3 linked regions of the Rhinolophus ferrumequinum genome follow. The protein of the gene in region 2 interacts with the protein of the main gene of each other region in a pairwise test. Links are inferred from orthologs where the notes say so. Each region holds a gene or a part of one and is shown on either strand. Other genes may lie near its edges.

What was found.
Region 1: the proteins of SFN (region 2) and FOXO4 interact in binary tests that used the Homo sapiens proteins (3 or more experiments, as listed by UniProt). The link is inferred for Rhinolophus ferrumequinum from reciprocal best matches to the Homo sapiens genes SFN and FOXO4.
Region 3: the proteins of SFN (region 2) and NTAQ1 interact in binary tests that used the Homo sapiens proteins (3 or more experiments, as listed by UniProt). The two-hybrid records come from large-scale screens. The link is inferred for Rhinolophus ferrumequinum from reciprocal best matches to the Homo sapiens genes SFN and NTAQ1.

What each region holds. Positions count from the first base shown.
Region 1 is NC_046284.1:1,868,572-1,873,562, reverse strand, and holds the start of FOXO4 (forkhead box protein O4), read left to right. Parts: upstream 1-1,965; 5' UTR 1,966-2,644; coding exon 2,645-3,097; intron 3,098-4,991. UniProt on the Homo sapiens protein: Transcription factor involved in the regulation of the insulin signaling pathway. Binds to insulin-response elements (IREs) and can activate transcription of IGFBP1.
Region 2 is NC_046292.1:18,397,869-18,402,056, reverse strand, and holds SFN (14-3-3 protein sigma), read right to left. Parts: upstream 2,764-4,188; 5' UTR 2,646-2,763; coding exon 1,899-2,645; 3' UTR 1,406-1,898; downstream 1-1,405. UniProt on the Homo sapiens protein: Adapter protein implicated in the regulation of a large spectrum of both general and specialized signaling pathways. Binds to a large number of partners, usually by recognition of a phosphoserine or phosphothreonine motif.
Region 3 is NC_046297.1:60,735,893-60,740,883, forward strand, and holds the start of NTAQ1 (protein N-terminal glutamine amidohydrolase), read left to right. Parts: upstream 1-1,526; 5' UTR 1,527-1,763; coding exon 1,764-1,852; intron 1,853-1,859; exon of another isoform or gene 1,860-1,996; intron 1,997-4,991. UniProt on the Homo sapiens protein: Mediates the side-chain deamidation of N-terminal glutamine residues to glutamate, an important step in N-end rule pathway of protein degradation.

The sequences.
Region 1 (4,991 bases), on a different chromosome or scaffold from region 2:
AAAGGGAGACAATGCAAGATATGAGTCAAGCCAGGACAGGTGCCTGCCCCACCCACCCTGCCCTTTCCCTGTCTCAGAGGCTCTGTGTGAACTGCCACCACACCTGTTCAGTTAGCAGAGAGCCCCCTGTGACCTCGTACCCACCAGGTCTCTTCTCTATCAAAGTCACCATTCACACAGCACTTACCAGGTACTGCAGGCTGTGCTGCGGGAGGAAGAGGCGCTCGCAGGAAATGGCTGCCTGGCATTGTGAACAACTGCATGTCGTCTCTCTAGTCTGGACCTCAGATAGGAGGAGTACATGGTCCACGACAGATGGAGGACACATCCTGTTGGAGTAGAAGGAGACAGGAATATGAAGAAGCAACGTGGTCATGTTACTGTGAGCAGACTAGTATCACTTTGAAGGCCCAACGTGCTGCCGCCTGTGCTGCCGCGTTGTATGGAAAGCCTTCCTGACAGGAGGAAGGCCTGCTCACCACAGAGCGACACAGCAAATGGTGTAGCACCAGGCGCTCTACAGACACGTGAAATTACAGACCCACCCCCAGGAGCTTGCCGTCTACCAGGAAAATTGGGACTGGATAGGCAGAACATACACATCATACATTTCTTAAAAAGCTGTCAAATGTACAAGTGCAATGTCATTCAACTCCTGATCCCATTCATTCAACCAACATTCACTGAATATCTTCGATGTGATCCCAAGTTGACAAAAGCAGAAAAGGGGACGGTGTTTCCAAGAAATCATGTGAAATTCTGACTTGTTGGAACTTAGTGTGCCCAGTGAAAGATGAAGCAAGAAAGGTGGGAAGTGGCCCGACTCTGAAGAGACCTGCGTGCCTTGCTAGGGAGGTTGAACTTTAGCACATAGACAATGGGGGAAATCAAAGGAAGTTTTAAGTAGGGAAACTGTGTGATCACATGGCCGTGAAAATGATCCCAGTTCTGCCTCCTAGCTGTGTGACTTTGGGCAAGTCACTACATCTCTTAGCATTAGTGTCTTTGTCTACAAAGTGGGGTTAATGGTCGTCCCCATCTCACAGGGTTGATTTGAGGAGTAAGTGAGCTTGTGTGTAGGTAAGGCAACGGGCACAGCGTCTGGCACATAATAGGCGCTCCGTACATTTTAGCTGTTATTACCAGGAAGGTTTCTCAGAAAGGTAACTTTCTTGGTAGCACCAAACATACAGTGCAGCGGGGGGTAAAGACTGATGGCAGGAGGTCCGATTAAGATGACACTGAAATTTAATCCGGTGACAAATCAGATCCTGAAAAGGGATTTGGATGTGGGAAGCTAGGGAGAAGAAAAGGTGAGGGGGGTCTAGCTAGGGAGATTGGGTAGATCAGGGTAGACCCATTTAGCAAATTCAGACCTAAGGGTAGCCAGCCGATAGGGGTGTGGGTGCAGAAACACATCGATGAGTTCAGTTTGGGACTTGTTGAATGAGAAAGGCAACGCGAAACGGGAGCCTGGAGGACATCAGTATTAAGGGAGAGATCAGAAGAGCCAGAGGAGAAAACTGATTGGTCAGCGGCCACAGAGTCAGTGTAACTGCTTCTGGGGGATGGAGAGAGGTGGGGGTACACTATCATCAGCTAACCTTTGGTTTATGTTAGGCAAGCCCGCCACCCAACTCCCCAACATGCTTACAGCCTGTTTTCTCGTCAGTTCTTTGCTTCTTGCTTCTCGGTTTTCTGCCTCTTGTAGAGACCGCGTTGTTGTTTGTTGTTTTGTTTTCCTTTTGCCCTCTCTTAACTGAAAGAGGGAAAGTTCTAGCATCTCTCAACACGATCACCTAGGATACCCCGAATATCAGGGAAGGGGGTGGGAAGGGGGTCAAGAGAGGGGTGGAGAGGGGATGGGAAAGACCACGAAGCAGGACGGGAAATGTAGTCCTCAAGCGTGAGCGGGATGGCACGACTGAAGAACTCGGTTTCCCAACTGGCTCTCCAGGCGCGTGCGCAGATGGCTGCCCCGGCGAGTGGTAAACAGAGACGCCAGGCGGGGGCTGTAGCTCGGAGCAAAACAAAAGGGAAACCCGGGGGGGCGGGGGGTGGGGGGGTTTGGTAGGGGAATTGGTGCGGGAATAGGAGAGGCTGGGGCCGCGGGGACGTGGACCTTCTTAAGAGTGGAGGGAAGGGAAGAGGCGGAGGAGGGGGAGTCAGGGGAGGGGCAAGTGACGCGGGGGAGCGGGGCGTGGGGGAGGGCAGCGATCGGGGTGGAGGAAATTTGGGAGGAGTGTCCGGGGGGCAGAAACTTAAAAGGGGGAGGGAACTGCGGCGAAGGAGACGTTCGGGGATGCGAGCGCAATGTATGAGGGGCTGTGGTGCCTCAGGTTTAAAAGAGCAGGAAGCTGAGTGAGAGAGGTCGGAGGAAAAGTGTCTTCGCTAGGCGGAGGTTACAGGTGGTGTCTCGGCAAGTGCTGGGAGGCTGGAGGCTGGAGGCGCGGAGAGGATCGGAGAGCTGTGTGGAGGGGACAGCTTAGGGGCTAGCGTCCTGCGGCGAGGACGAAGTTGGACTTTCTGAGGACTGGCGGGAATGTGCCTCCCGGCTCTGGGTGCTTCCCCCCTGGGGGGAGGCATCGTGAGGGTCTGTGGCAGGCTCCTCTGAGCGCTGGGCGGCTGAGGTCCACCTCCACGTATGGATCCAGGGAATGAGAATTCAGCCACACAGGCTGCCGTGATCGTGCACCTCGATCCCGACTTCGCACCCCAGAGCCGTCCCCGCTCCTGCACCTGGCCCCTTCCGCGACCAGAGCTTGCTTCCCAGCCGTCCGAGCCGCCCGAGGTGGAGCCAGGTCTGGGAGAGAAGGTACACACGGAGGGGCGCTCAGAGCCAACCCTGTTGCCCTCCCGGCTCCCAGAGCCGGCAGGGGGCCCCCAGCCGGGGATCCTGGGGGCCGTAACAGGTCCTCGGAAGGGAGGCTCCCGCCGGAATGCCTGGGGCAATCAGTCATATGCAGAGCTCATCAGCCAGGCCATTGAAAGCGCCCCGGAGAAGCGACTGACACTCGCCCAGATCTACGAGTGGATGGTCCGCACTGTGCCCTACTTCAAGGACAAGGGTGACAGCAACAGCTCAGCAGGATGGAAGGTAACTCCGACCCCCTCACCTCCACCCCAGTACCCTCTGCCTCGGGCCCCCAGCCTCATTACTGCCATTGGGGGGGGCCCTTTTACACCCACCCTCACCCCAGAGATCCACCTTCCATGGTCAATTAGGCAAACTTTTACTTAGGACATAGTATGTGCCACGCTCAGTGCTTGATGCTGGACGATCACAGATGAATAAGACACTGTCCTTGCCCTGGAGAAAATTGAATTCCCTGCTCACTGCTCAACACTCCAGGCACAAGTGTTGGCTTGGGCTGCCCCAAACACTTATTCCCACAGAGAAGTCTTTATCCTCTGTGCTGTGTGGATTCTCCGAAGAGTGCAGCCTTCCCTCCTCCCCCACCCTCCCACCCCAACACCTCTTCTCCCGTTCCTGTGGGATGACTTGGACTCCCTGCTTGTCCCCCAATACCTCAAGGTAGAGGTTCTGTCCCAAAACTCCTCTACCCAAGAAGAGGGAGTGGAGTTGGCAAAAGGTAAGAAGAGTGCTGATATTCAGGGGGTAACGTAGCTGATCTTACGCACTAAGAAAAAAGGGGCTGTGAGCTGATACCTGCCTCAGTTTACCCTATAATGCCAAGCAACTCCCCCTGGTAAGGGGCTCTCCAGTTTTGGGGGGAGAGCTGTCATTTACTGTTAAGGAATATTAATCATGGGGAAAAAAAGGCAGAGGGTTCTGACTTCAGAGCGCAGAGAAGAAAGTGAGCTAAGGAGCTCGCTAGGTGCTCTGAAAACTTGTCTTGAGAACTATGGGGCTCTAATCACGAAACTGCGGAGCTTCAACCCCTATTAATGTCTTGTACGACCATAGGTGGTGAGATCAGCGCGCCCTTAAGGAAGTACACAGGGTTGAATGAGCAGTCTCCCCCAGGTATAAGAGGTCGAGGGGTCCGATCTGCTGGGTGGCCGGGAAACAGGACAGCTGATGGAGACCCCTGGCACTATTTCTGGGTAGACTGCCACGCCACAGTCTCAGCTCATAAAGAGCTCCCCTCCTTGGTCCCAGCCTACACAGCTGTTTTTCTTTTCCTTTAGGTTCATTTTCCAGGGTAGAAGGAATAACCATGAGTTGGTAGTTATGCTGTGGGAGTAGTTCCTCCTTATAATTTACACTTATACGGGGCTTTTCAGTTTACAAAGTGGATTTTTAGTTTTTTTTATTCTATTAGTCTTCACAGCAATTCTGAGATTCCACATGTTGCATATTAGGAAAGTAAGGTATAGAAAGGTTAGGAAACTTGCCTAATGTCATTAGAATGAGGACTTGAAGTCAGGCCTAACTTTAAATCATATGCTATTGCTGTTTGTCCATGCTGCAACTTCTCTTCACTGGAGTGATGACAAAGCCAGTCAGACTGAGCCTGGGGCCTCTAAGACCCCCCACCCCACTCCAAGGGGGAACCCTCACGCCTGAACTGGCTTACCTGATGATGTACCAAGGTAACTGCCACCCCACCAGGGGGCGGCACCCACTTAGAACAAGAAAGCTTAGTTCAGTGGCTTGGGGAGCAATTAGCAGTCACCCCCTTGCAACAGGTAAGAATTATGGGCTCCTAGGAAGCTGACCTCTCCAGGTAGGTGGCTGTACCATGTATAGTTCTAAGACTTAAAGACTGGACGAAGAGCTGGGCCTCATGGCTACTGAGTAGTAGGGAAAGGAATGGGCCTTCTCAGTAGACCCAGAGTTAGAGGATGAAAAGACGGGCGATCATGGTGCGGAAAGTCACTGTGGTTCTCAGTTACTAAGATCCCAGGCTGAATGGACAAGTGTGGTTCCTTGAAGGAACTAAGAATGTTAACGTAGCCGACTAGCTGAAGTGCCATTACTGCAGGGTCCCCAGGAGGTGGGATTCTGGAGCTAGAGAGCCTTGGAA
Region 2 (4,188 bases):
TTGATGCTAGAAGGATTAACAATAGCTAACACGTGCTATGGGCTACTTTAAGTGCATTTATTTTCTCAAACTTCACAGCAACTCTAAAGAGGAAGGTACTACTTTTTTTTATCCCCACTTTACAAATGAGGACACAAAAGTAAGCAAGGTTAAAAGCCTTGGCCAAGGCCGGCTGGAAAGAAACCCAGGCAGTTTGAGTCCAGAACCCAGATTCACGTGTTTTTCATTGTCTTTAGTTCAAGCCTCTTTTGATACAGAAGGGGAAACTGAGGTCCAGGGAGGTATAATAGCTTTTCCAAGGTCACACAACCAAGTCAAGGACACAATCCAAGCCTCCTGGCCACCAGTTCAGGGCTGCCTGGACTCTGATATGTGGTGGGGATGCCTTGGTGGCCTTTTCCAAGCCGGCCTTGCCCACCAGGCACCGCAGGTTAAGCAGATGACTCAAAGGGAAGGGACTGCTTATTCCGCACCGCCCCGTCCCGTTGCTCTGATGCCGAACTGGCGCGAGGCAGGTAGCAACTCGTCTAAGTGAAACCCGGAAAGCACCGCCCCCAGCGCTCGGCGGGTGGCGGGGCCACTCAGTCCCGCAGCGCGTCGCCGCACTCGCAGGGCTGGGCGGGCGTCGGGAAGACGCGCCGCGCGCGTCCACCGCACATTATCCCATTGGTCAGTCTGGCCCCGGGGGCGGTAACCCGAGGAGCCCTGTCCAGTGATTGGACTATATCGGCCTCGGGCCCGCCTCCAGCCTGAGCTGTTAAGGCGGGAGAGAGCGAGGTGGCCGCAGGCTCTGGCGTGTTGCAGCTGGGAGCGGAGGCGGCAGGCTCGGCTGGCCAGGACTGGCCTCCGCTCCCACCCAGCTCGCGCCCCCTCCCCGTCAGCCCATTTCATTTTATGGCCATCTGCCAACGCTAGGGGGCGTTTCCCTCTCCTCGGAGCTGGGCGGTTAATGGCGGCGTCACACTCCTCCCCCATAACGTATGCCCGCCTCTCAGATCTGAGCATTTCCCTGATGGGACTATTCCTCGCTTTCAAATGGGTGGTGTTCAATGCAGCTCACTACTGTATATCCATGCGGCGCTGTACTCAGACCTCACACCTGATACTTCACTGGTTCCCTGTCCCCTCAGATCTGAGCTCTTCAGCAGAGGAGACTCAGCCACCTTTGGGTTCACCTGACCCTCCTGCGACCAGACCAGTTATTTTGTTTGGGATCACCCTGATGGAGAGAGCTGGACCCCCACCCCTCACCTGGAGTCACCGGCTCCAAAGTCTTGCCTGCAGGTGACTGAGCCAGCTCCATGGGAGGTTAGGACCCTAAATCAGAGGTCCAAAGTCAGGCTTTCTGTAAATCAGACGCCAACCTCAGTCCCAGCCCTCCACCAATAACTGGAAAAGACAGGAGGAGTGTCACAGGGGAACTTTATTGAGAGAAACACTGCCACACCCAGCAGACATGCTTTCCCTCTCATTCTGGGTCGGTCTCTCTCTCACACACGCACACACACACTCATCTCCAGCCTGTCACACGGTCCATTTCTCCACTACAAGGGTGGACACTCCTCAATTCCTAAGATCCAGAGGCTGCAGGGGCAGGAGGGAGTCAAGAGTGGGAAAGAAGTGGCCCGGTTCACAGGGAGGGAGAGTCTCGAAGCGGGGGTGCAGAGAGCAGGAGTGGGTGGGTTAGGAGCACACGACAGCTGCAGGAAGAGTGGGATCCTCTGGCTCCAGGTGGCCTCAGCTCTGCTGGTCCCTCTCTGTGGAGCCTCTCTGAGCTGGGGGGGGCAGAGCATTGGGGAGAAAGGTTGGGCTTCTCACCCCATACTAGTCCTCTCTGCCAGGGGCGGGGGACTGGAGCGGGCAGGGCAGGGCAGGGCAGGGAGGGGAGCAGGTTCGGCTCAGCTCTGGGGCTCCTCAGGTGCCTCGCCTCCCTCTTCTCCGGCGTTGTCGGCTGTCCACAGGGTCAGGTTGTCTCGCAGCAGCTGCATGATGAGGGTGCTGTCTTTGTAGGAGTCCTCGCTGAGGGTGTGCAGGTCAGCCATGGCCTCGTCGAAGGTGGTCTTGGCCAGTGAGATGGCCTCCTCGGGGCTGTTGGCGATCTCGTAGTGGAAGACAGAAAAGTTCAGGGCCAGGCCCAGGCGGATGGGGTTGGTGGGCGCCATCTCCTTCTTGCTGATGTCCATGGCTTCCTGGTAGGCTGACCGGGCTGAGTCAATGATGCGCTTCTTGTCATCGCCAGTGGCCACCTCGGCCAGGTAACGGTAATAGTCGCCCTTCATTTTCAGGTAGAAGACCCGGCTTTCAGCATCACCAGCCGTCTTGATGAGGTGGCTGTCCAGCAGTTCCAGCACCGTGTGGCACACTCTCCGGAGCTCAGTCTCCACCATCTCCCGGTACTCTTGCACCTCCGGACCCTTCTCCTCCGAGCCCTCCTCATTGCTTTTCTGCTCGATACTGGACAGGACCCTCCAGGCAGCCCTCTGGCCACCCACCTCATTCTTGTAGGCCACTGACAGCAGGTTTCGCTCTTCACAGGATAGCTCCTCACCCTTTTCCACGGCACTCTTCATGAAGGCTGCCATGTCCTCATAGCGTTCGGCCTGTTCTGCCAACTTGGCCTTCTGGATCAGACTGGCTCTCTCCATTGGCTCTGGGGACGGACAGACAGACGGTGGCAGGGTAACTGGCTGCCTCAGGACCAGTGCTGGACTCTGTGGCTCTCCTGCTCTCAGCCTGCCTTTTGGCTGGGTGGCCTGGCCCCGAGCAGGGTGGGGAGGGAGGGGTAAGGGGCGGGACTGAGGCTGAAGACCTACTTCCCTCTCCTCCCCACACCCTTTCCGGCTCTTCCTTAAAGGTAAGAGGGCTGGGATGTGGAATGAGTCATCGTACAGTCAGCAGGAGAAATTAGGGTTTGGTCCCACCTGCACAGGCACCTTCCAGGCTCCAGGCTGCCCCCTCATTCAAGGTTTCCATTACATAGGTGTCCCTATTAGGTAACTGCCCCAGTTTCTCAAATCAGATTTTCCTTCATGGTGTCCTTTCAGGGGCTAAGGATGGCTTCAACCACCTGGCCACCTGGTCACTTCAGCCTAGACAGACCCCATAAAGCCAGGTTGTAGAAGGATGGGGTTCCTAATCCTGCCAAGTACGTTTGCCCCTTGGTTCAGGTGATATCATTCATGTGTAGGTAGAGCTGTATAGTTTCCCAAGCACCTTTATATCCACGATCTAATTTAATCCCTATTATGTATGTCTCTGTGAGGTGGGCAGGACTGTGACTACTACCCCACTTTAGAGATAGGAATACTAAGGCTCAGAGAGGGATGAGATTTGCTCAAGGTCACACAGCTACTAAGTCCCCTGCATCCTAAATACTTCCTTTGGTTTCTCCCCCATTGAGGCTTCTGACTTGTGAGCTCCAGGCTGTATTTAGAAGTGAGATCCAAGCTTCTTCTGGAATCTACCTCAAAAGGTTCTATCCCATCCTCATTCCCCCTCGGAGCTCCCAGAATGCACTGGTGGCAGCTTTCATGGTGCCACTTAATGAGGTGTTTAACAAGCGGCCTCTGACGCTCCGGCCCAGCCTTTGTAATTAGTCACCCAGTAGGTTTGTTGAACACATTTCCCATCACAGCACAATTTTCCCTTTCAAGTTGGTGGCCTGTTGCGACTTGTTCGAGGACTTACCCTCTGGCTCTCCACGCCAGGTCACCTGCCCCCTCCAAGTCACCTGCCATCCTGTATCAGTAGGGCTTACAGAGGATGGGGGACAGGCTAACTGGCTGTCCCACTTTCATGCCTGACCCATCCCGCTTTCTGCCAAAGGCTGGGAAGCAGGCCACCTAGGTGCTCAGCTCAGTTTGGTTACCCAGGGGGGATGCTAGCAACTGGACAGAGAAACAGGACCAAGAAAAAGGAGGTGGCAGTGACATATACCATTTTGTTTTATAGAGCAACAGTCCCAGCTGAGTTCCGCCTCCCACAGCCTGCTTCTTAGAAGTTTTCCGGTCCCTTCCCTTTGACCATGGCTCCACCGATGACCCTTGACCGGGGCCTTGGAGATAGAGACTTCTCTGTTGCCAGCCTTCTATCCTTCTTTGTTGGGTCGCTGTCCTCGTGTCAGCCAAGAGTTTCTTTCATCTAAAGGTGTTGGCACTGCACCCGTGAGGGTGAATTCCTGCTTATCTG
Region 3 (4,991 bases), on a different chromosome or scaffold from region 2:
ATGCATTGGGGTGGTGGTGGGGGAAGGATAGAGGGGCTTAGGGAAGTAGGGGAGACTCCAAGACGATTGACGGAATGCTCAGTGTGTGAGCCCCCCAGCCACAGGTAACTGTGCAGGCCATGAAGTGCTTGCTGAAGGAGTATGGGAGGCAGTTGCCTGCAGGCCTCCCTGGCCTCTGGTTTGTGTCAAGAGGGCTGCAGAAAGGTTATTGTTAAGCTAAAGTTGCAAAGTCACAGAGGGACCAGTAGGATCTGTGGCTGGGGCAGACCTCACTGGATGATGATTCTCATGACCACTCCAAACTTTTGTACCATCCCAGCAACTGGAGTCTTCTTCCTGCGACACGATTTAATGAGAAGGCTTACCACCATTCTCTCATTAAAGGAGAAATGCTTAAGGGAATTATTTGTCTAGAGCCTATACTGAAGTGTGTATTCAGAGCTGAGAGGCAATAAATTGACAACTGACCCAAGGACTTATGCTCAGTCTTTAGGATTTTGGGGTTTTAGAATTCACGAGTTGGGCAAATCTGACTATAGATCGCCTATACACCAAGAATTTCAGTTTTGATAATGGAAAGTACCCTGATCAGCTATATATGCCCTTTGCAAATAACAGACAATTCAGAGGACTATAAAGCATCAAGTGAAAATCCTCCGTTATCATTCATTCACCAGAGATAAACAATTTCAACCATTTGGTGTCTTTCCTTCCAGGCTGGCAACAAAATAAACATGACTAACACAATGGGTACCATGTGGATTCTTTTTAAACTTTTTTTTTTACTTACTATATCAAAGAATCCATAGATCTTTCTTAGCCAATATATACAATTCTCTATTTTTTAAAAATGTTACAATACGGTGAGATTTTAGGGTGATACCTTTCGCTAAAACCATCCTTGATGCAGACGTATTTGGACTTAACTCACCCCCCCCCCCTTTATTCCCCCTGGATCCTGCGGGCACTAGGCTCAAAGTGCTGAAGCTTCATTTTTCACACACAAGTCTCTTATTTCACTCGCACACGTCGAGTCTTCTACATCTCATTTGGTGCTTCCACAGCTGGCAACCCGACCACGCGTTGGAAGAAGGGTCTCAGCCTCCTCCTGGAGAGTCACGAGGCGCCGTTCAGGGTCCGGCGGTTTACCAACTTGACGTTCTTCCTTGACTTTTCAGGTCGCCGGCTAGTGACCTCTCTTTTCCCCCACCTGACTGGCTCCTCGCTAGTACCGCCGTCCCCAGCACTCCCGGCCCCGCCCCACCTGGAACCCGCGCCGCCAGCACCGCCCCGCCCTGGCTCCACCGGTCCCGGCCCCCTCTACCGGAATCGCGCGGTCCTCGCCGGAGTTCAGTCCGCGGGAAACTTAAGCCGCTCACCCAACCCCAGACCCGCCCACTTTGCCCTGGCTCCACCCTCCCGTAACTAGCCCTGCGCGTCCCGCCCAGGCACCGCCCACCGGAACCAGCTCCGCCTGCACAGGGCCGTCCTGGGCCCGCTCTTTCAGCCCCTAGCTCCACCCACCGGAACTTGCCCCGCTCTTGTGGACCCAGAGCTCCAAGAACCTGAGCCGCTCGCCCCGCCCAGATTCCGCGTGCTCGTGCCAGGCTCCACCACTCGGGAACTGCACCAGCTGCCCCGGCTCCGCCCACTCCGCTTCGAGAGCCTGTGCGGGCTGCTGCACGCCAGCTTCGTCCCCAAAGCGCGCCTGGGGGGCTGGACCAGTTGGCGCGCTTCAGGCCCGTGCCCTGGCCCAAGCCACCATGGAGGGGGATGTCCCCGACGCCGCAGCCGCCAGCTACCAGCCGGCCAGCCCTCCAAGGGATGCCTGTGTCTACAACAGCTGCTACTGGTGAGGGGGCGCGGGTGCAAACGCTAGCATCTCCGTGGCTGCCGCGACGTCGCCGCTAGGCCCCGCCTCTTCCCGGCTCCTCCCCCGGGCTCTCTGGGCCTCTACTGGCGGGTTTTCCGGTTTGGCGCAGAGGACGCCGGAATGGTAGCTCGCGTCTTTTGAGTGGAACGTGGGCATTTGGATGGGGGTGGGGGTGGGGGTGCGGAATTCGCCAGTAATGGTCGAGTCGGCAGTGTATTACTTTTGCCTGGCGCTTTTCGCTTGGACGTTTCTCAGCGGGTCTCAGTGCTTGTGGGCTAGGAAGGGGAGGCAGAGGCGGAGGGTGGAGCGCAGAGAGCCTAGAAATTACTTTGCCTGAGCTTGTGTTGTGTCACACTGATGTGATGGTCATTTTAATTTCGGAAGAGAATGGAGGCACAGAGATTTTGCTGTAACTTTCCCAAGGTCACCCAGTTAATAGTATCCAGAAATCCATTTCAGGCCCTCTTGTACCAAAAACCACGGTCTTAACTACCATGTTGTCATAATGGTTACACTTACATAGTACTCGCTATATGCCAAACATTGTGCTGAGTGGTTTATGTAAACGGATTCATTTATGCCCCGCAATTGCCTTAGGAGGTAAGTATTGTTATCCTCATTTTGAAGATGAGAACACTGAAGCACAGAGGGCTGCAAGTAAACTTGTCTGAGGCCACATGGCTTGTAAGTGAAAGAATGGGGATTTGTGAGTAGAGTACGGCCCTGGAGTCCACACATTGTACCCCTGTCCTAGGCCACCTCTGTGGCTGAATCACAGTTCCTACCTTGGTCCTTTTCACTCCCACACCTACCCTTTCCTTGCCTGTGTAATGACTTCTTCCCCACTTCCAGTCCCTTTACAAGAAACGGCAGGGCCACCTAAAACTATCTTTCCCTCCTTCAGCTGGTCACCAAACCAGTGCCACCCAGAGCTTAACGTTTGTTCAGCTCTGACTGCTTATCAGGCCCAGTGCCAAATGCTTTCTTCCATCCATGCCTAGGAGATAGGTTCTATTACTCATTTCTCTCATTTTACTAATGAAAAGACAGCCACAGAGAGGCTTGTTGTTGGCCCAAGATCAGCCATTTAGCAAGCGGTAGTCCTGAAACCAACCTCTGTAATGCTGGAGTCCATGCTTGAGTACTGCACTTTATTTCTGCCCTCCCGCTCACCTAAATCCTATTAGTTCTTGTCCCTAACGTCCATTCATTTGTTTTATTCTTTCACTAAGTATTTATTAGACATTTGGAGTGTGTAATGCACGATTTAAGGTACTAAGGATACAGCAGTGAACAAAATAGACAAAAGTCCCTGGTAAGATCTCATGGTTCTTACATTTTAGTTGGGGAAAAGCAGACAAAAACAAACCATGCTTAGGTGTTGTTGAGTGTTATGAGAAAATTAAAACAAGGTAAAGGATGGAGACTTACTATTTTATATTAGGATATTTAAGGAAGACATTGTTGATAAAACGATCTTTGAACAGATCTGAAGAAAAAGGGCGGAAACGTCGTGGATATTGGTGGGAGATCATTCCAGGCAGAGAAACAGCAGGTGCAAAGGCTCTGAGAAGGAAACAAGCCATGACTATTCTAGAAAACAAGGAGGCTGACACGGTTGGAGTGGAGGGATTTGGTGGAAGAATGGTAGGAGATGAGCGTCTCTTCAGTAGATCATCTTTTTGAGTTCCTTCTACCGTCGGTCAGATCCTCCTTGACTTGCTTGCTGTTGGGGGCATTTTCCAGTCCTTCCTAACAGGTCTCTCTGCTCAGCTCTCCCATATCCTGTCAGGTCTAACTTCTTTACACGTCTCAAAGCCATCATGAATTTGAATGTGCCAGAGAATCAGCTGGGAGCTTGGAAAACATACAGCTCTTAGGATCCACCCCCTCACCCCCGAGTCTGGATGTGTGAGCGGCACAGTGGAGCAGTCTGAGTCTGGCCTGACGGTCACATATCAGGGAATACAGACGTAGATAATAAAGTCTGTCCCCTGAGCATAGCAGGCCCTCTAAGGTCTGCTCACTGTCTGTTCCTCCAAAACCTCATTTTGAACTTGGCTTCCCTGCCCTACCCCAGAGTTTCTCAACCTTGACTCTGTTGGCATCTTGACCATGTTAATTCCTTGTTGTGGGGACTGTCCTGTGTATTGTAGGATGTGTAGCAGCATCCCTGGCCTGTCCCCACTAGAGGCCCATAGCATCCTCTCCCAATGTGTGACCACCAAAAATGTCTCCAGACATTGCCAAATGTCCCCTGGAGGCAAATCGTCTCTGATTGTGGACCAGTGCCTTACCCTGTCTGAACATGTGGGCTGGGTGCACCTTACTACACTTGCTCCTGTGGGTACTTCTAACTTGAAATAAACGTTGCCTCTACTTCTGTTAGTTTCTGTCAGATGTTAACTTATCTTTTAAGACCCAGCTTAGGGATAATAGTGGTGGCCGATGTTTGTGTGACACTGTGCGGTTTGCAGAACATTTCTGATTCTGTTGCAATTGTTTTGTGTTTTTCAATCAGTTATTGAGCACCTACTGTGTGCCAGGAATCCTTGTCCGCATGTCTTTCTGAACTCAGCCTATCACCAGTAACCCTTAAAGTAACCATGGGCCCTAATGCTGCTTTATTAGCCTTTCTGCTGCCAAAACAGTCAATTGACAGGTTGGAACATTTTTGTCATCATTCCCCACTTTTTTTTGACCAGTTAAGTGGGTGCCAGGATTCACACCAAATCCAGGGCTCTTTCTATTCCAAATGACTCCCAGTGTTTCCAAGTATATAAGGTCCTCTTTTTTATTAACATCAAAAGTATCATGAGATCTTTCTACATGATATTAATTGTACTCTTGAAAACAAAATGGACATAAAAAGGGACTACAAGTTCAGTAACTCGTATGTTTAAATTTATTTTTCCTCTGTGCAACATTCACACATATTTAAAAAACAATTGGCAAAGTGTGTCCAAGCCACATGTGTATTCAGCCTGCCAATAGTGCTTGTATATATGGATTCATGAACTTTTTGCTTCAACTCTGCCCATCCTTGGGATGGAGGGAAGGGGAGCAAACAAAGAAAGACCACTGACCTGTACCTCCTCCATCTTCCCGTATCCCTTAA